2 linked regions of the Diceros bicornis minor genome follow. The protein of the gene in region 1 interacts with the protein of each later gene in a biochemical or structural test. Links are inferred from orthologs where the notes say so. Each region holds a gene or a part of one and is shown in the gene's direction. Other genes may lie near its edges.

Region 1 (11,159 bases):
CGCGCCCGGGATCGGAACCCGGGCCGCCAGCGTCAGAGCGCATGCACTTAACCGCCAAGCCACGGGGCCGGCCCAAGCAATTGGTTCTTACCACCCCTTGTTGCTCCCTCGTCTTTATCTTCCAGCCAAAGATCATCTGGCTAAAGAACAAGATTGATATCCAAGACAACCCCAAGTACGGAGCCCTCACTCACCTGGGAATCTGCTCCCTAGAAATCCGCAAGCCTGGTCCCTTTGACGGGGGTATCTACACCTGCAAGGCCGTTAACCCCCTGGGGGAGGCATCCGTGGACTGTCGGGTGGATGTGAAAGGTAAGGGCAGAACTTACGCCTTAGGGTGCAATCATGTCTCTCCATAGCTGGAAAAGTTGGGGCAGAGACACAGCCTAGATGGAGAAGGGCTTGGTTTGCTTCCCCTTCAGGCCCTCTCATTGCTGTCATCATTGCGATGTGTTTGGGGAGCCGTTTTGTTATCCACCATCTCATGTCTCTCCATCATAATTCTGTAATATAGGACGAATTGCTATTTCCATTTTGCAAAGGGGAAACCTGAGGCACAGGGAGGTGATTGGTTTACCCAAGATTTCCAGTGTTGGTTAACTGAGGAGTTGGCACTATGGCAGAGAGAGCTCATGTCTCCTGGGCCTCACCCAGATCATTTTTCTATAAAATATACAGTCTTCTGATTCAGTCTCCTCTGGGAGACTTTCCCCTCTGGTTTGTTAAAAGGGAATATTGTACATCCTTTCTACCTCTTATAAAGTATTCATTCATTTATCCATTCCTTTCACCTTGTTCATAGCTCCATATTGCATTTAGCATATTGTTTTATAATTATTTATTTACTGATCTGTTTCCCCATTAAACTATGAGCACCTTGAGGGCAGGGACAGTCTTATTCGCCTTTGTTCCCCAAGGGTTGAGCGCAGTTTCTGACACACGGTGAACACTCTCTAAGTGTGTGTAGCATGAATCAGGAATGAATGGGCCATTATATGTCCTATTCTTCCCTGTGCGTAGATTCCTAATTAGCACCATGGACCCTCAAAAAACCTAAGAAGTATATCCCTTCCTAACGCTCCAGAAGGTTCCCCAGAGATTTCTGAGACATTAACATTGAGAAATGTCTGAATTCTTGCAGCTCCTCACTGAGGCTCCTGAAGAGGACACGGCAACTCTGAGGAAGATAAGGAAAGAGGGACAGGGGTCTGAATAAATTATTTCATGTTTATGGCTAATGTTGTTGAGCCTGGGACAGATACGCAGTCCTGAGCCTTTCAACCATGCACTCGCTGGTGATCACTTTTCTTTTAACCACTTTTTTTGGTAAGCTAATACGATCATCCACATGGAAGGAATTTACCACAGATAAAGTCTACTTTTGTCACATCTTCTATCTGTCTGTACTCCTCAAGTTGATGATAGGAATTAAACCTAACAGTCCTCTGAAAAAGAGTGACAGCATCTACCTAATTGTAAGAGGGTGCTGTGGGAGGGAGGTGGGCAGGTGCTGTAAGAAAAGGTGTCAGGGGAACAATCAGGAGTGGAAGATGGATGAGGTCGCCTCTACCTCATGGCAGCAGCATGGAAAAGGAGAGAGGAAGCTGCTCCTGTCAATTAAGTGTTTCTACCGCAGTATCATAAGCATGGTGAGAAACAGATTAGTTTGCTTGTTTTTTACTTTGAAGTTTATGGATTCTTTCCCCTCCAAGAGAATAAAACCACCATTCTCATTACATGTCAATAATAATTGAACATGTGGGTATGTGGTCCCAAGCAGCACATTATTGGCAAAGGCAACTCAGATCATCATTTAGAATTTGATAACTTCTTCAGATTCTAAATCATTCACAGTAGAAATGTTGTGTACAAACTGATGAGGTGCAAAAGAAGCTCGTGAGAGAATTAAAGAGAACTGGCTCCCAATGTCTCCTCTGACCTGCAGCTCCTGGCTGATGAAAACTGAAAATGAATTCCATCCCAGAAGCCATTTATTTAAGCCTATCATTGATATATAGCAAATGAAAACTGTAAGGGATGCATTAGAAGTACAGACTTAGGAGAGCTCTCTCTGCCAGTTGGCTTGCAAAGCCAGCTCTCTCGCCATCCCTCCATTCCCTCCATGTTAACGTTAATGTTGTGTTGTGTTGGTGTTAGCCTTGTTAGTGTTAGTTGCCCTTTGACCTCTCTCCCAGCCAGTGCCCAGCAAGGAAGCAGGGTAAGTAGAGAATTCAGAGGACAGGACCCAGGGACCGTGAAGAGGGATTGCCCCAGCATCCCGGGTGTGCTCTGGCTGTGTGCTGTAATGGCCACCACATATCCTCTCTTTTCTGTGCCTTCAGGAAGCCTGACTGTGGCGAGACTGTATTCTTAAGGAGCTCCAGCACAGTGTCTGGTTTGGATGAATCTAAATAAATATGTGAATCCTCAGTGCCTAAGTGTCCATCTGTCTGAGCCTTTCTATATGGGAAAACCATTTAGAAAGTTAGAATCCTTTAGCCAGACTGTATGGGATCTGCAGACCCTCAGACTCCTCTTTCTCTTCCCATATCCACACTCTCTTCCACAAAGGTTTCTAACACTGTCCTTTTCTCTAAACAGTCTATGACAGAGCTGAGTTCAACTCTGTACAGTACCAGGCACTGAAAGAGATGCTGAAGATCACTTGCTCTCTTTCTTTGTGCTCTTTCCAGAATAAGTTGGAAAACAGGGTGCACATCCATCACAGAGATGTAGACAGCAGGACACATAAATACGTACATAGCTAATTAAAGACAGAGCACTAAGACTTGAGGGCTAGGAGATACTGAAGAAATTGGAGCAGAGTCTCATTAAGCCCTGGGGAAAGAATAAAGACGAGGGGCCCTTGCTTATATGTTTTCATTCTTAGAGCAAATAAGATATGGAAGGTATTCTGTGATAGAACCTGCAAAAGATAGCAATAATTCTTCCCATCCTAGTATGGGCATGGTATTCTTCCCGTCAAGATTTGGAGTCTATTTCTCCTACCCTCTAATCTGGGCTGCCCACGTGACCTGCCTTGACCAAAAGAATGTAGTGGAGGTGATGCTTTGCCAGTTCTGGGCCTAGACCTTAAGAGGTCTAGTAGTTTCTGCTTTTGCTTTTGGAAGTCAGCTCCCATGTAAAGAATCTCAGGATAGATTACTGAATTACGAGAGGCCACATGGAGGACAACCAAGCATCCCAGCTGACAGCCAGCACCACAGCCCTAGACATGTGTGGCCGCCTTGGACCCTTCAGCCCCAGTCAAGCCCAATCTACTCCTTGTGGAGTAGAGACAGGTTGTCCTTGCATAGCCCTGCCCAAACTGTAAAACCATGAGCACATGAATGGCTACTGTTGTTTCAAGTCACTAAATATTGGTATGGTCTGTTACACAGTAATATGTAACTGAAACAGCCTTCTATGCATCAGGCATTGACCATTAGGCTTTATCTCTTTTAATCTTCATTTTACAAATGAGGATGCTGAAGCTTATAAATTGCTCCAAGTCATGCAGCTGGGAAGTAGCAGAGCTAGAATTTGAACTAGGTCTATGTGACTTCGAGCCTTCCCTATTTCCTCTCATCTCTTTCACCCAGTGACCCCCACTGTAGCGGGTCTGGGTTGGAACCATGGGTTTAAGAAAGAAAAGATTTCTAAGAGGCAGTAAATATTAGGCAAGTTTTGGAGGAGGAAGGGGATGTGTTTTGGCTAAGAAGAGTGTAAAAGGCTTTTCTGTTCAGACCAAAGGTCTATTTTCAGTTGAGGCAAAGCATCTATTCTAGCCTTTCTCAACTGGAGTTCTATGAGAATTAAGCCCCAATGCCCCAATGCATCCACTGTATGTCAAATTCACTTCTTCCTCTGCATCTAGAATGTTACTAGTTATGTGCCATCCTTGGGAAAATTGAGAAAACAGTCACACAAATCTTTTGTAGGCTCTAATGCACTTGTGGAACCCCTGCTGAGAATGTTGGCGAGGCAGAGTCCAGAGTGAGCCAGTCATGTACATAACGGCCAGAAGGCCTCCTTCCAGCTGAAGCAGGGCCCAGGTCAGGAAGGAGTGAAATACTCCCAGCTTTGATGCCCTAAGGATCAGTTAGACCTTGGGCCTCAGCCCACAGCCTCTGCTGTTTGTTGAAGTACTCAAGGGCCATGCCTTAAAGTTCATATATTCTCAACCTTCATGGTGAAGGAATAAAATTTTCTTCACACTGACCAAGACCTCCAGTCACAGCTAATCTTTCTGCATTCAAGGAGAACTACACTAGAATCCTTAATTTTTTCATTTATGCACTCAACACTACGGAGTACCTTCTGAACTAAGGCCTACCATGTGCCTAAGGGGGTGTCATTTCTTCATTATTTATCCAAAATCTTAAAACACCTATTCACATGTACCATTTGAGGTTGAGCTGAGGAGGAGAAATATTTCCCAGATTAGTGGCTTTATACAGAGTGGAGAATTCTTGCTCCTGAAATCTACATTTTCTGGCTTTGTTGTCATTCTCATAGAGGAGAAAGTAGTTTCACTGCTTTTTTTCTGCTACCGCAACAGCTTTCAAAATCATAATTTGGTGACAGAAAATTGGAGATGAGTTTCCCTAGGAGAAACTAACTTTCAATTAGCTAAAACTGCCTCCCCTACTCATCTGAAGGTGGGTGAAGACATAAATGCAGACTTTCCCTACTCAGGCTGCTCCTGGGGGAAGAAGGAATGCAGTTAATTAACAGCGTCTCTCCTCTGATCTCACTTTGCCTGCTACCTGTGTGGAGAGAGGGAAGCTACTGGCTCTGGTTTTCTTACCTCCATGGAACCTGAATCCTACAAGCAACTAAAATTCCACCTTCACCAGCAAGCCTAGGGAAAAAGAGGAAACCTTCTTCTCTCAGCTCTTCCTCACATAAGCTTACAAGTTCCGGGTCTCCCCATCCTTTCCCTTATCATCCCACTAAATTCCAAGGATCCTGTGCTTCCTGTGGCATTACAATAACATCTCACTCCTGCAAACCTCACCACCTCCACTTTACCGCTAAAAGCTAGGAAGTAAATGAAAAAGCCTTTAAGTGGCCAAAATAATGGTCATAAACTCTGGAGACTAAAGCTCAGGTTCTTTGTTTACAAGAAAGCTCTTCAGCCATTCTTTTCCGGCCTTTTAAAATTTTTAGAACATCTCTGTTAACTGGTGGCCCAGCCTATTCACAGGCAACACTTGGAAACAACAGAGAGAAAAATCCCTAATGATTGTAGCCTTAAGCATTTTACAAACATAGCTTTTGGTCTAGAGGTAGCAAGTTACAAACACCCCCTCAAAAGCCGCTAAGGCACACGGTAGAAAACTTAATGTTCATACTTATCCTCCTAACCACGTAACTGTCAAGGTCAAGATGCTCACTTCATAGATGAGCGAGGGGTCAAATACAGGTGCAGAGAGGTCAAGTATCCTGAAACTCTCCTAGCTTGCAAACAGAGGAGTCACGGTTAGAATTGAACCCAAATCTGTCTGTCTGAAAATTCCGTTGTTTTCTTTACACCTTGGCTGCCTCACGTTCCGAATGTTCTTGCTTAAAAAGCCAACAGAAGATATACTTCTTAGAGAATCTCAATATACTTAAAACATAAATGTTTAGGTGCTTCCGTAACTTGGAAAAACCACAACTGAGCAAATTTGGCAAACGCGGCGCTTGCAGGCGGAACAATCTTCCTCAGGCACAGCGTTAGGATTGGCGCCGACGGCCAGGAGGGGCGTCAGGCAACCACGCCGGTCCCCAGGACCGCGCAGGTCCGGCAAAACCCGGCTCGACCAAGCAGGAGACGGAGAGGGGGAGGAGACGGGCGGGTGGGGGGCAGGGCGCGAAACCCAAGCTCATTGGCCCGTTCCCTCGCGCACCGCCTCGAGGCCCCGCCCCTCCCAGGCCCGACTCCGCTCGGCTCCCCTCTTGGGAGCCAAAGGAAGGTCTCCCGGGCACGCGCGCGCTCGCGGCCCCGGGGTTTCAGCCCTCTGCATTGAGTCTCTCTTGGAACCGCTCTCCACACGGCCCCCACCTGCAGACTTCCGGCCAGCTGCCCGCCGCCGCCCCGCCCCCCAAGGGCGGGGGATGCTGGGATCCGCCAATCACTGAGCGCGTGTGATGGGAGTGGGTGGGGCCTGAGAGATTCGAAAGGAGCCCCGCCCCTCGGAGCTGATTCCCTGGACTAGGTTGTGGGAGGAAAGCAGCTTCCGCGCAAGGTGTGGCGGCGCGAAAAGTCAGAACTGAGGGTGGGTTGAAGGTGTGGTCCGTGGGTGTGGTGCCGTGGGGAGTGGCGAGGTGGATGGGGGGAGGCAGAACCCGGAGATTGGTGGCGGGAAGAAGGTGGGGCGCGCCTCCAGTGAGGAGAGGCCGGGTCGCTGAGGGGCGCAGTCTGCGGAGGGCGATGGGGGTGGAGGAGGAGCTCTCCGCACCCTCCCCGGAGGTAACAGGGGTAGTTACAGGGGCAGGTGCCACTCCTGGGACGCTTGCTTTACCTCCAGCATGACCTCCAACCCCTGGTTTGCACCCTGAGTCTAGCTGGGAGCCTTGGGCAGGATGGAGACCAGAGGAATGGTGTGTTTTCTCTCCAGCTCAGGTCTAAGCTGACTCTTGCTTCTGCTGGCAGGAACATGGGAGATTTGGAGGAAGGTAAGGAAACCCTGGAGGGCAGAATGAGACCCTGCGATTGAGAGCCGTGTTAGGGCCCCGAGTCTGGCAGTCATTCTTTCCTCCCCTACAGATGTAAAGTTTATAGTGGATGAGACCTTGGACTTTGGAGGGCTGTCACCATCTGACAGGTACTAGCCTCTTTATCCTACTTACTCTCCTCCAACAAGGCCTCTCTGACCCCTTACTGCTGAATTACTGGCCTCTGGAGCCTGGGTTGGTAATTTAGCAAGGTTGGGTGCACTGGGGCTGCTGGGTTTGACTGGGGTTGACTTGGGTTTCTATGACACTAATGGGGGAACGAGAAGGGATAAGCTGGAGGGAGACTACAGGGTGTTAGGGAGAAGGGTAAGTGGATTTGCTGTGTCTTCATCCTTGCGTAATTTCCAATGTCACTAAATGCTGAAGGCTTATTAGGCCTCATAGAACCAGGTGTCTCATCACCTAGAAGCCGGATCTCACACCCAGCATGGGGATCAGGGTTTAGGGGTGTGTCCCTGGCTCTGTTGTGCGGGTTTTGCCCAGTCTCCTGCTCTCTAACGCGTGGGCATGGTGCCTGGTTTTTCTGTCTCAGTCGTGAAGAGGAAGACATAGCAGTGTCGGTGACTCCGGAGAAACCCTTCCGACGAGGCCTCTCCCACCGAAGTGACCCAAATGCAGTGGGCCCTGCCTCCCAGGGTCTGAGGTTCAGCTTAGGCCCCCTCAGCCCAGAGAAGCTGGAGGAGATCCTTGATGAAGCCAACCGGCTGGCAGCTCAGCTGGAGCAGTGTGCCTTGCAGGAGCGGGAGATCACAGGCCAGGGCCTGGGGCCTCGCAGGATGAAGCCCAGCCCTCGGCGGGAGACCTTTGTGCTGAAGGACAGTCCTGTCCGGGACCTGCTGCCCACTGTGAGCTCTTTGGCTCGGAGCACCCCCTCCCCAAGCAGCCTGCCACCTCGACTCCGGAGCAGTGATAGGAAGGGGTCAGTCAGGGCTCTTCGAGCAACATCTGGAAAGAGGCCCTCCAGCGTGAAGAAGGTGAATTTAGAGGGTCTGTGTGTCCCCAGACACACTGCGTGACTCGGTACAGGCATAGAGTGGTTTCCTCGTTGGTAAAATGGGAATAGTAAATTCTCCCTTATAGAATTGTTGGAATTAAATGAGATACCACAAGCAAAGCACTTACTGTAGTGTCCGTGCATAGCTCCAGAATGCCTAAAATAAGCTCTCAATAAATGGTATTGGTGATGATGATGGTGTTAGCAGCTAACTTCTGCTCTTCCTTACTGGGATCTAGGCCACTCTCCACCTCTATCCCTTAGTCACCCAGCAGAACAGATTCTTTTTCCATTCTAGTCCTTTTTTTCTCTCTTTGTGTTTCAGGAGTCGCCCACGTGCAATCTGTTCCCCGCAGCCAAAAGCCCGGCATCTTCTCCTCTTGCCCGATCAACTCCTCCAGGCCGGGGAAAAGCTGGGCCCAGTGGGAGAGCAATAGCAAGTGAGAAGACCTGGGCAGCAAGGCTATGGGTGAACGGGAGTAGGGAGGATGTGGAGCTTACCCTAAAATTCCTCTGCTCCTCTCCACCAGGCCCGCCTACCCCTGTCAGACCAGTCTTGGCCCCACAGCCTTCTACCAGCAACTCTCAGCGCCTGTCTCGGCCACAGGGAGCAGCTGCTAAACCTTCCAGTCGGCTGCCTGTTCCCTCTGCCATCCCCAGGCCTGCCAGCCGAATGCCACTCACCAGCCGGAGTGTACCACCCAGCAAAGGTGCCCTACCTCCAGATTCTCAGTCAACTCGGAAAGGACTTCCAAGACCCAGTGCTGCAGGGCACAGAGGTGAGGAAGAATGGACATCAGGGTAAGAAGTCAGGAGGAAGAAGACCTACTGTTGCCCAGCTTGACTGCACCCTCCCAGAGCTGGTCACAGTGACCACCTCCATCTCCATTATAACTCTGTAGAAGATGGGGAGACTGAGTTTAGGAGAGGATGTGGGCCTGGGCAAAGAGTTTGAGCCTTGCATTTCAAATACCTTCTGTTTTTTACCTTGGGTGAGAGGAAAGGCACTAATCCCAAACTCACTGTGCCTTCTGTTTCTTTTTGAGAAGGTCACTTGAACTTTCTGCTAACGCATTTCTTTTGTTAACCCCCATCAAGTTCCTGTTTCCCAGCGACCAAATCTTCCCCTCACTGGTGCCACTCACAGCAATCTGCAGCCCCCCAAGAAAGTTGCAGACCCAGGACCTACCAGGTAAGACTGGTTGAGATGCTTTCTCTCTCTCCTCTGCCATCTGGGCTTCTGAGCTGTTATGCACATCAGCCCTGAATCCTGTGTGGCAAGATAAGGGTGAGGAGGGGAGCCTGTAGGGGTGGGGAAGCCCATTTCTTCCTACCCTGAGGATCTCGAACTCAGCTGGGTGAGGAAGAAGGGCAATTTAAGGCAGTTCCTCCTTCTGTCTCTTTAGGTAGAGAGATCAGGACAGCAAGCAAGAATTCAGTAGCAAACCACTACAGTCACTGCCTGGACTCACCTCTCCTGGGCCTCCCCAGTCCTCCCGTTGGAGGCAGGCCCTGACTTCAGCAGATTCTGGCCCAGGGGCAGGAGGAAGAGATGCCACCAGGGCTAGTGCCCAGGAGTAGAGACCGTGGGAGATGGGATAGATCAGGAGTGAGCTGGGGGAAAATCAAACTCTCTGGATTGAAAGAAGATTAGGGAAAAAAGAGGTCGCCTCCCAGTAGTGAAATTAACAAACAAAAAATGAGAAATGCAGGAGAGTGGATTGTCCTCATCCACCCCCACTCTTGTGTTCAGCTGCAGAGAGTTTGATCTTCTTCCCAGGCATTGGTTCACTGGACGTTTACATGTGAATGGTCTCTGTGGCTAACCTCCCTGCTCTCTGAGGAGGGGTCCTCCTGAGTCACATCCTCTACTGGACTCGGGCCTGTTTGGAGAAGCAGAGGCAGGCATCTGGTTTCCAGAACTTGTTTCCTGTAAATTCTGTGACTCCTAACAGGCCAGTTTATGATAAGCTTACTCCATCAGTCTGCATTTTTCTAAAATAAAATGAATGTATTTTTATATTCTCTGTACTTGTGAAAGTAGATCCTGCTCCAATTTCTAACAAATTTGGAGTAAACTCCTGTGTAATTCCAATGAGGTAACCAGGCTGTGTTGTGTAGGCAGGGGCCTGAATAGGCGCTGGGGCCTTGAGATTCCAGCTTGTCAGGTTGTGATTACCCCCCTTGTCAGCATTAGATGGGAACAGGCTGCCCTTTCCCAGGATTCCTGTTATTAGAAGGTCCAGATCAAGTTAAGGTATACCTTAACCCCCTCCTACACCCACCTTATACTTAATGAATGAAATTCTCAGCCACATACAAGTCACAACACTAGGCACTGCAGAGGTTTATAAACCCTGGTGCCAGCTCTCAAATCTAGTGAGGGAGATAAGAGGAGAACACTGATGTGTTCTAATGCTGTAAGGCAGAATGCGATGAGGCGTTCTGGCATCTTCTGCCTAAGGCAATCAGAAAAGCTGAGTACCAGGATACCCACCAAAGGGCCCCCTGATCCCAAAGTACAGCAGATAAGAAGCTGAGGAGTTCCCAGGAGGCTCCATTCTCTTGCCAGGAAAGGACACCCAAGTTTAGGATATGAATAGTAATTTATAATAATAATAATGATAATGATAATAATCCTGGCTTGACACCTCACATGTATGTGGCTGAGAATTTCATTCATTTATTGAAAAAAATATTTGAGTGCAAGATGGTGGGTACTGAATGAATGACAAAGACTCATTTAACAGATTTAACTATGAGTCCCTTTTCTCACAGCCTTTGATTCTTGCAACCAAAACCAACTCAATTCCTTATGAGTTTTGAGAGAACTTTCCTCCTTGAAAGCCAGGCCATGACTTAAGGAAGCCAGTAGGCAGCTAGGCAAAGGGAGTGGAGTGCCAGCTGGTGTCCCTGCCGCCACACCTCTATGGCCATAAGAACCCTACTTAGGCACTGAAATGCCCTTCCCCAGTACCTGGGGCCAGAGGCCCTCCACTGCTTTCTTTTCCTTTTTATGGCTGATGTTAAGGTTCACTTAACACATTCATCTCTATCACAGTGACATTCACCTTTCCCTGAGCCTCTTACAGAAACTCCTGCAGCCTCTGGGATTCCAAGAATTGAGCTGGGGAGGGGGTGTGGAGACAAACACTGAGTATTTGGCCCTGGAGACATTTGGCAGAGGCAAGAAAACCTCAGGTGTGTTTCCCAGCTGCATCCTGCACGTATGTCTAGTGAGCAGAGCCTGCTGGTGACCACCACTCTGACAGAAGCATTGGAAGGTCTGCAAGCCTAGGAACACACTTCGGTGTGGCCTGGGTGGGTCCTTAGAGGCAAAACAAGCAGCAGACCCAAGTGCTGTTGCCACCTGGTGGCCAGAGAGGACAAAGCATGTTCCTTTTGCCCTCTAGGTCAGTCTAGAGTTCAGTTAACCTGCCCT
Region 2 (10,389 bases), on another chromosome or scaffold:
TTCCCTTGTATGTTCTTAGCACCTTTGTCGAAAATTAGCTGTCCGTATATGTGTGGTTTTATTTATGGGCTTTCAATTCTGTTCCATTGATCTGTGTGTCTGTTTTTATACCAGTACCATGCTGTTTTGATTACTATTGCTTTGTAGTATGTTTTGAAGTCAGGGATTGTGATGCCTCCTGCTTTGTTCTTTTTTCTTAGGATTTCTTTAGCTATTCGGGGTCTTTTGTTGCCCCATATAAATTTTAGTATTCTTTTTTCTATTTTGTGATGAGAACTTTTAAATGTATTCTCTTAGCAACTTCCAAACATGCAATACAGTATTAACCATAGTCACCATGCTATACATTACACCCCAAAACTTATTTATTTTATAACTGAAAGTTTGTACCTTTTGACCCTCTTCACCCATTTGCCCCCCCCCCCCATCTCTGACAAACATCAATCTGTTCTCTGTATCTATGAGCTTGGTTTTTTTTTGTTTTTTTCTTTATCCATTCATCCATCAAAGGACACTTAGGCTGTTTCCCTATCTTGGCTATTGTAAATAATGCTGCAATGCCAGATTCTTGACAAAGACTGTAGTAGGCATCAGCTAACAGATACTGAGCCTCTAAAACAGGGGTAGGGTGCAGTCTCAAAGATGGGAAACAATGCAAAAGCAAGAGGTCACATTCATCTCAACAACCTGACAACTTGATTAGCGTCATCCTAGTTCACCTTTAATTGGCCCAAATGCAGGAATCAGCAAATGAGGTGCTGCTAGATAAATTCATTAAGAGCATGTACTGGTTTTAGATGAGTAATGAAGTAGTCTTGTTCTCAGAAGCCTAGAGTAATACAGGGACGGCAGCGTTTAACATAAACCCGATCAACAGAAAATACCCACACATATCTTTCCCAGATGGCTCTACCAAAATGACTGCTCCAAAGGCAAACTATTTTTACACAGTACAGATTGATGCTGGACATTAGAATCATAGTGTTTAAGTACCAGAAAAAACCTCAGAGATGATCTAGACCACTGGTTTGCAGTCTAGCTTCAGAATCTCCAAGACAGCTTGACAGAATATGATGGCGGGGTCCACCTCCAGAGATTTTGATTCAGTGGATCTGGGCAGGGCCCAAGAATTGGACTGGGGACTATTCTTTAATGACCACTGACCAATCTACTCGATTTTCCTGATAAGGAATATAAGCTCATTAGGTTTACATTATATTGTGCTAATGCTAAGCATTTTTTTTTAATGGAAAATCTCCAGGGTAGCAATATAAAAAACAAAACTTCTCTACCCTTAGTTGCTAAAATATGGTTCTACATTTTAAGCGGTGCTTCAGAATGAAATGTTTCTTTACTCAGTCTCTTTTACCAATCTATGCCCCTTTCCCTCCTCCTCCTGCCCCCCACCAAAAAAACCTTCCACCAGTGGCAGGGTAGAGTTTGGGGAATGTCTATAGATATGACAACAGCACCACCTATTTTACTGAACTCCTGAATTCAGAATACTGTACCAAAGAGACAAACTTGATTTTCGGTTGATAAAGTAAGGTTACCTAACCTACCTCAGCAAAGTAGCACACACTCAAAGATTTGCAAAAAGTACAGAGTTTATATGATGAAGACTTTTCTACAATTCAAGCAGGAGGATGCCAATACTCCTTTATTTAGTCACCTCAAAGGTTCCTTCTTGACTCTGGACCTTGATACAATGCTGTTCCCTCCACTTAGAAAGCTTTTGTTTTCAGCTTAAATATGACTTTCTGAGACAACAAACTGCACAACATTAGAAGAAATGGATAAATTCCTAGAAACATACAAGCTACCAAGACTAAATCAGGAAGAAATAGAAAATCTGAACAGACTGATTAGTAGTAAGGAGACTATTCAGTAATTAAAAACCTCGCAATGAACAAAGGTCCAAGATCAGATGGCTTCACTGGTGAATTCAACCAAACATTTAAAGAAGAATTAACACGCCTTCTCAAACTCTTCCAAAAAACAGAAAAGGAGGGAACATTTCCAAACTCATTTTATAAGGCCAGCATTACCCTGATACCAAAACCAGACAAGGACATCACAAGAAAAGATACTTACAGGCCAATATCACTGATGAACATAGATATAAAAATCCTCAACAAAATATTAGCAAACTGAGTTCAATAATACATTAAAAGAATCATATACCAATCAAGTGGGATTTATTCCATGGTTGCAAGGATGGTTCAACACCTGCAAACCAATCAATGTCATACAATACATTAACAAAATAAATGATAAAAATCATATGATCATCTCAATAGATGCAGAAAAAGCATCTGAAAAAATTCAACATCCATCTAGGATAAAACACTCTTAACAAAGAGGGTATAGAGGGAACGTGTCTTAACATAATAAAGGCCATATACAACAAGCACACAGCTAACATCAACTGTGAATGGTAAAAGGCTGAAAGCTTTTCCTCTAAGATCAGGAACAAGACAAGAATGCCCACTCTTGCCACTTTTATTCATTATAGTGTTGGAAGTCCTAGCCAGAGCAATTAGTCAAGGAAAATAAACAAAAGGCTTCCATATTGGAAAGGAAGAAGTAAAACCGTCACTATTTGCAGATGACATGACATCATATATAGAAAACCCTAAAGATTCCACCACAAAATTATTAGAACCAATAAATGAATTCAGTAAAGTTACAGGAAACAAATTCAATATACAAAAATCTGTTGCATTTCTATCCACTAATAATGAACTATCAAAAAGAAAAATTAAAAAAAAAAATCCCATTTAAAACTGCATCAAAAAGAATAAAATACCTAGGAAAAAATTTAACCAAGGAGGTGAAAGACCTGTACACTGAAAACTATAAGACACTGATGAAAGACACTGAAGACAACACATGTAAATGGAAGGATATTCTGTGCTCATAGATTGGAAGAACTAATATTGTTAAAATGTGCATATTACCCAAAGCAATCTACGAATTCAACGCAATCCCTATCAAAATTCCAATGGCATTTTTCATAGACATAGAACAAACAACCCTAAAATTTGTATGGAACCATAAAAGACTCCAAATAGCCAAAGCAATCTTGAAAACAGAAGAACAAAGCTAGAGGAATCAGGCTTCCTGATTTCAAACTATATTACAAAGCTATAGTAATCAGAACAGTATGGTATTAGCATAAACACAGGCACATGGATCAATAGAACCAGAATAGAGAACCCAGAAATAAATCCATGCATATATGGTCAATTAATTTGCAACAAAGGAGCCAAGAATATACAATGGGGAAAGGACAGTCTCTTTAATAAATGGTGCAGGGAAAACTGGATAGCCACACGTAAAAGAATGAAACTGGACCACTATTTTACACCATACACAAAAATTCACTCAAAATGGATTAAAGACTTGAACTATAAAACTCCTAGAAGAAAACATAAGTGGAAAGTTCCTTGACATCATCTTGATGATGATTTTTTGGATTTGACACCAAAAGCAAAGGCAACAAAAGCAAAAAAAACAAGTGGGACCACATCAAACTAAAAAGCTTCTGCACAGCAAAGGAAACCATCAACAAAATGAAAAGGTAACCTACTGAATGGGAGAAAATATTTGCAAATCATATATTTGAGAAGCAGTTAATATCCAAAAAACATTAAAAAATACAACTTAATAGCAAAAAAACAAACATTCTGATTAAAAAACGGGCAGAGAATCTGAATAGACATTTTCTAAATAAGATATACAGATGGGCAACAGGCACATGAAAAAGTGCTCAACATCACTAATCACCAGGGAAATGCAAATCAAAACCACAATGAGATATCACCTCAGACCTGTTAGAATGGCTATTATCAAAAATATAAGCAACGACAAGTGCTGGCAAGGATATGGAGAAAAGCGAACCTTTGTGCACTGTTGGTGGGAATGTAAATTGGTGCAGCCACTATGGAAAACAGTATGGAGGTTCCCCCCAAAACTACAAATAGAACTACCATATGATCCAGTAATCCCACTTCTGGGTATATATCTGAAGAAAACAAGAACAATAACTGAAAAATCTCTCCACTTTTCCTTAGGATAAAGCCCAAACCCCTGAACATGGCTTAGCAGGCCCTTCAAGATGTGACTCTTCTCACCTCTGTGACCTACAAACTAAGCTCCAAGCCTTCTCTGAGGTCCTCAGAAACTCTGTGCCCTTTAAGGATTCCCAAGCTTCGCTTAGTCCATTCTTTCTGACTAAATCACATTCAGCCTTCTCTCCCCAACTCTCAACCTTCAACATGGAAACCTCCAGTCTGGGGGGAACCTTCCACATATCCAAGTCAGGAATAGAGGGCCCTGCCAAGTGCTCCCTCAGCCTATACCACAGTATTTATCTCACTGCATCGTCTATAACTATTTTCTAATTTGGTTCCCCCACACTTGACTAGGAGCTCCCTTGGTCAGGCCGGAGTCCCGTTTGCCTACATAAGCCAACAGGTAGCTCATGTGGAAGGCACCAAAATGAGTATTCTTGAACAAATGAATGATGGTGTAAAAGAAAATATCAGGGGGCAAATTGAAAGCATCTGCAGTGAATCCATCTGCCACAAAACTTCTTAATATATTTTGCTACATAAAAGCAGTTGATATATTGAAATACTTCCTTTACATAAACAGGTAGGCCTTTCTTCGAAGACATCGGTGGTAGTCAAATATGACTTAGTTTAAAATAATATCAACTCCTGCCTAGACAACAATAGCCTTCCACATTTGCAGCAAACCCCACTCCCAGCTACAGTCTTCTCCACTGAGCAGCCAGTGATCTTTTCAAAACACAAATAAGATACTATAACTTCCCAAGCATGGCCTACAAGGTCCAGCCTGTCCCACACCCCAACCTCATTACCAATCACTCTTCCTCTTACTCTATTAGACTCGCTCGCCTTCTTTCTTGCAGTTCTTGTAAACGGCAAACGTTATTCCAGCATCATAGGGTTTGCACTTTTCTCTCTGTCTACAAAATTCTACCCCCCAGCTCTTGGTATGGCTCCTCTTCATTCAGATCGTTTGCTCAAATGTCATTTCCTCAGAGACCTTTCCTGACTATCTATAATATCCACCACGTCCTAGTCGAACTCGATTCTATTATTTCTTTATTTTCTTTATATAACCTATCCCTATCTGATAATTTTATGAAAGCTCCACGAGGGCAAGTGATTGCATCTATCTTGTCCACTGTTGTCTCCCTAACAGCTAGAACAGTGCCCGGCCAGTAAACACTTGCTAAATGAATAAATGCACTTAATGAACAGGTCCATCTGGCATATTTTCCACTCTCTTTTCCCCTCCATTCACAGAAATCCGTGAGGGTCGATATCCTTGCAGGAAAGCCCTTGAAATGTCACCGCCATCCCAAAGAGAGTCCTCTCTTCCGCGCTAGGCGAGGCATACCTAGCCTGGTAGCTAACGGGCCTCCGGGACGGAGAGATGAGCCATGGACCTGGCACTCGAGTCAGAAAATCGCTGAGGAGGGGCGGCGACACAAGGCGCCCCTCTCCTCGCTTCCTGAGGACTGCCGCCTCTCCAACCTTAACCCCTTGGACCAGCCTCTCAGTCGGCCAGACACACGCCTCCCCAGTCGCCGAACTCAGCGGCCGCTCCCAGTTACCTGCCAGGGATCTGGCTCCTGCCAGGGATCTGGCTCTAGACACTCAGCCTTCCCACCGCCATTCCAGCGACCACCGGCCCCTGCCCGGCCACCGTAGTTCACGGAGAGTACACGCTAGTCCCTCCCCCCGCATGCGCAGAAGCCCCCTTAGCGTTCACTGTCTCTTAGCAACCGCTTCGAGTCCCTCCGCCAGGGGCGGAGCATCGGAAGCCACAGGGGGGAAGCCGAGGGGAAAGTAAGTAGGGCCAATTGGAGGCGACTCCCAGCCTCGATCGGCACGCCTCCTCTAACTGTCGCGAATGCGCAGGCGGCTTTACGGCAGCCAAGGGGTGGGGGCTGCCTGGGGTAAGGAGGAGAGAAGGAAGCAACCAACCAACCAAGTCGCCCCCGCCCCCCACCCCCACCCACTCCGGACCTGGTTTACGGCTCCGGGCTCAGGCTCCAGTGCGGCCGCTGATTGGCTGCTGAAGGCTTGGTCCCATCCCAGTGACCCCAAAGTGCTGGAGGGAGGGGGCGGGGGTGGCCCAGTGCAAAGTGCATCCCAAAAGCCCCCTGCCTGGAGCCCCTGCGGCTGGCACTTCGAACCCTGTGTGACCCGGGACCTCGCTGTCCCCAGACCTCCCGTGTCCGCCCGTAGCTGGGAGTCTGGCCCGGAGCGCGGCAGCCCCCTGCTCCGAGTCCTCAGACCGGGACTGCCCCCCCCCACCCGAGTCGGGACTTCCTCCCTGCACCCCTGCCCCGAGGCTGCCCCGCGGCCAGGACCGCCGCCCCCCGTCTGCTCGGCTGTCTGGATGCTCGCCGGGCTGGGGCCGTGAGGCACCGAGGAGGATCAGGAACACCCGTGTCCGGCCCTGTCTGGGGTGTTTCTTCAATGGAGAAGTTGGTGAGTGTGGAGGAGGCTGAAAGGAGGAAGAGAAGCAGCAGCTGAGGAGACAGGTAAAGTCACTTACCTCCCCTGAGAGGAAGGGGGCTGGCCGGGAGGGAGGAGAATCACTGCTTCTTCCTGCCTGCCCTTACTACTCTCTTCCTATGCTCCCCGTTCCTCGGAGCCCCCTCCTCCTTGGCCCCAGGGCACTACACCACTCACTAGTTGCTGATTTCCAGGTTTGAGCTGGCTAGAGGAGACGAGAGAGCAGGAAGGGATTTGCCCACCCACCGGAGAAGCAGCAGAGAGCCTCTGACCAGCATCCTCTATAAAGGTAATAAGCCAGTCCTCCCCTCCCCCCTTTGTTTATTCCTGGCCCTTACCTTATTAAGCAGTGCTTTATTTTCAGGGTGATTACCTGGGAATGCAACCTTTTCTTGGCCCCCAGTTTGCCAGTGTAAACAAAAACACTGCCCGTGCTGTAATACTTAACATTTTAGTAACTTCTCTACCCCAGAAGCTGTTTTCCCCCTTCTCTCTGTACAGTGTTTCCGTGTTTTGCGTTATCTTTTGGTACACTGTACCATTTACCCTGCTCTGAGACTTTGAGACCTTTTAGTAGCTCCCCCCCCCCCCCCCCCCCCCGCTTTACTCTCATAGGAATTCCTCAATTCCTTGTTAATTGCTTGTTAATTCTGAATGACTCTGCTTTTTAATTAAACCACAGTTTTCTCTTTTCTTCTTATTCCTTCCTATCACCTTTTCTCTACCTCCATCAGAAAAGCTTTTGCGTTACCTAACTCAAGGGTTTGGTAGAGGAAGGTACAGTAATGGCTTGAAATTTATGAGTTTCGGAAAACAGTGTGACTTTTTTTCTGAGTAAAAAGTGAATCTGTATACTTTAATAATAGGAGAGATATGAAAGCAATACTCGCCCCTGAAGCGCTTATGTATAATTAACTCTTTGGGCTTTTGTGTGTTTCTGTGTGACAGATGTGGAAGGGCCCTGAAACTGTTCTAAAAAGATAAACAATACTTGTTATACCTGATATTTTCTAGGAGAACTTAAAACTTTGCATAATATCTTGTTAATCATTTGACACTCAAGAATTTAAAAACAAAGGCGTATTATGGTGTGTTTAGAATCTAGGGCTTTCTTTTTGCACTCTTCATAAATAATATTTTTCATTTCAAAACGCTTACAGAGAATTTGTTAGATTGAAATTTAGGCATGTAATTCATGTGACCACATTTCTGCTGCTGTATTTTGTTGCTGCCTCTAAAGATGCACTAAAGGTAAGTTCAGGACATTCTTGTAATTCCTAAAGAGGGGATATGATCTGGGAAGTTATATAAGAGTTAATTCAGAAATTAGCCAAGTGAATGACTTTTCTAATATCCAATAACAGGAGTATAAAGTGACTTGCTAATCTCAGTTATTTTAATGTCTCAGATTGTTTAGGGAATTTTAGGTACAAAGAGGTACTTAAAATAGCAGAAGTTGTTAGGAAATCTTTGATTTACTCTGTTCCAGTGGACTTTCTGCCTTCCACAAAAAGAAATTAATGTCTTTCCTGATTCTTCTAATTATCAAGATACTGTTAAAGATGCTTTAAGAGGCTCTGAGGTTTTGCATATTCTTGAGACCTGGAACTGGACACCAAAGGGAGAATGTATGCTGCTGAGTGGGATTTAGAATCAGTATCCACCAATGACTATTCCATGGTGAACATTTTGGGTAGCCTTTGTATGTGTTTATAGGGTGCACTTCATTTCAGTAAGACTTCTGCCTAGAAGTCTATAAAGTTAAAGGCAATTTTCATTATTTAAGTATGTGGGTCACCAGAGAGATGCCTAATGATTTCTTAGGACTTTTTGAAAAATGCTAAAGTATTTGAAGTATGTTTTTAAGGTAAAAATGAATTACATATTTTCTATTCGGGCCTTCTCAATTAAATATTTTTTCTGCTTTAGATTTAACTCTAGCATGTTTTCATTTCCAAGGGGTATTAGCACTAAGAAGGTAAGGGAGTGGGTCTGTGGTGAGTCAAGCATATAAGGTAAAGAGAGGACACTGCTTTCCCCTGGTTTCCAGCCAGCTCCTTCTCATTGCTTAAATAATATTTCATTGATCCTCTCAGCTTTTACTGGTTTTTCTAAGATTAGGGAATATATATAAATTGTCAGCATCTGTTCCTGATATTAGCATGATCGAGAGCATTTGGTCTAGGTTATGGCAAACATTTAAAATATTTAATTTGGGTACTTATTTACCAGCATGGCCAGTTAGGTAGTTTATATTTTTCAACCTGGTAGTTAACTTTCTGTTAATTCTATTGCCAGTCACATGGTTTTGAAAGAAAAAAATCAAAAAACACATAATTTTTTCGATAACCAAATATATATTTATAATCACATAGGGAGAATAACTGATTTTAATTGAAGATATTCAGTGATGTGTCTTGAGTATGTTATGGCCAATACTTATTTTCTTTATACCTAAAGTGATGCCATTCACAATTAGTTACTATTATGACATGTACAGTATCTCTTTATTTTGTTCACATTTAACTTTGGTAACACAGAAGTACATACTATCCCTGAAAAGTCTAAAGTCAGATAAAGTTAGAAGAGCATATCTAGTACCTGACTTTCAGCCTTTCATTTCCTTCTCAACTGAAGGCACTCCCTAAGTAGAATGATTGTCTCCTTTCTTGCAGACTTGCTAGGCACTGACATGAGGCTGCTAAGATAATACTGCCAGACGTGGGTTAATAAGATAGTATTGACAAGACCTCATCATTTATAGTACTTGTGATTTAAGCTTTGAGTTGGGTCACATAAGTGAATTACAAAATTTCCTCTATTGCATCATCCACATTTCATGAAAATTGTTGGTTTTTCTGTTGGAACTCATGAGAGTTATAGACAAGTTGTGCATGATAATAAATCTTTGTTATATGAGGCCCAGTAATTTGGAGGAAATATGAATACCCTCACTTGTTTTGGAACATAAACACTATGCTAACTATGTTGAGTGATACTAAAATAACACTTCTACTTTATTTTGGGTTCCAGGCTCTTGATTATACAAGTAGAGCTCATCAATGTACAGCTCATCCATGTTGCACACTCTGGGCCTTGTAGTGTTTCTGCATCCATCTTCCCTCTTAGGACTTGTGAGCCATTGGTGGTTTGTTTTTTTTTTCTCAGAGCCAATATCCTTGGAGTTGCTGATTTTATTTCCTTACCAGCCTGTATCTCTGTTTATTCTGCAAAGAAATGCTTATTTCTTTTTTTTGAGTAGCAAGCTGTTACCTTGTTTCTAGTTTGTGTGAAATCTGAAAGCACAGTTCTAATTTGTATCACGTAATCAAAAAATGTGTGGTCTTTTAGTGAAAATAATATGCAAAAACTGTTAATGACTAATCATTTATGCCAAAGGAAATTGGGGACATGTGGACAAATTTGGTGAAAGTTATATAATTTTAGACAGGTCTTAAATATATATTTTTTTATAGTTATTCTTCACTCTATTCTATGAATATAGACTTCTTTTAATTATGTGAATCAAGAAGTTTTGGTTTTAACTAAATGAAATTCACTTGGCCTCTATATGGAAATTAAATGCTAACATTTTAATTCCTAAATTTACAGTTTCTACTACAATTAACAGGATTAAAGCTTGGAGGCCTACATTATTTTCTTTTCACCCCATGTAGAGTAGAAAAGATGAATTTGTAAAATTTAAACACACTATTAACATTGGGCGATAAAATCTCATATAAAAATGATATACATTGGGGAAGTGGCTCTTTTTGATACATAATTCTGAAGTCTTCCTTGTTTGTATGTTTTCTTTTTTCTGACTGGG

What was found.
Region 2: of the proteins of PSRC1 (region 1) and ASB7, one has a biochemical effect on the other in vitro, tested with the Homo sapiens proteins (2 studies listed by BioGRID, with this or other methods). The link is inferred for Diceros bicornis minor from reciprocal best matches to the Homo sapiens genes PSRC1 and ASB7.

What each region holds. Positions count from the first base shown.
Region 1 is NC_080743.1:42,380,888-42,392,046, reverse strand, and holds the start of PSRC1 (proline/serine-rich coiled-coil protein 1), read left to right. Parts: upstream 1-6,172; 5' UTR 6,173-6,233; intron 6,234-6,605; 5' UTR 6,606-6,644; coding exon 6,645-6,663; intron 6,664-6,754; coding exon 6,755-6,812; intron 6,813-7,255; coding exon 7,256-7,697; intron 7,698-8,042; coding exon 8,043-8,157; intron 8,158-8,247; coding exon 8,248-8,496; intron 8,497-8,815; coding exon 8,816-8,909; coding exon of another isoform or gene 8,910-8,913; intron 8,914-9,123; coding exon of another isoform or gene 9,124-9,159; exon of another isoform or gene 9,160-9,739; intron 9,740-11,159. UniProt on the Homo sapiens protein: Required for normal progression through mitosis. Required for normal congress of chromosomes at the metaphase plate, and for normal rate of chromosomal segregation during anaphase. Plays a role in the regulation of mitotic spindle dynamics.
Region 2 is NC_080744.1:80,993,704-81,004,092, reverse strand, and holds the start of ASB7 (ankyrin repeat and SOCS box protein 7), read left to right. Parts: upstream 1-6,129; 5' UTR 6,130-6,533; exon of another isoform or gene 6,534-6,586; intron 6,587-6,600; exon of another isoform or gene 6,601-6,660; intron 6,661-6,754; 5' UTR 6,755-6,849; intron 6,850-10,389. UniProt on the Homo sapiens protein: Probable substrate-recognition component of a SCF-like ECS (Elongin-Cullin-SOCS-box protein) E3 ubiquitin-protein ligase complex which mediates the ubiquitination and subsequent proteasomal degradation of target proteins.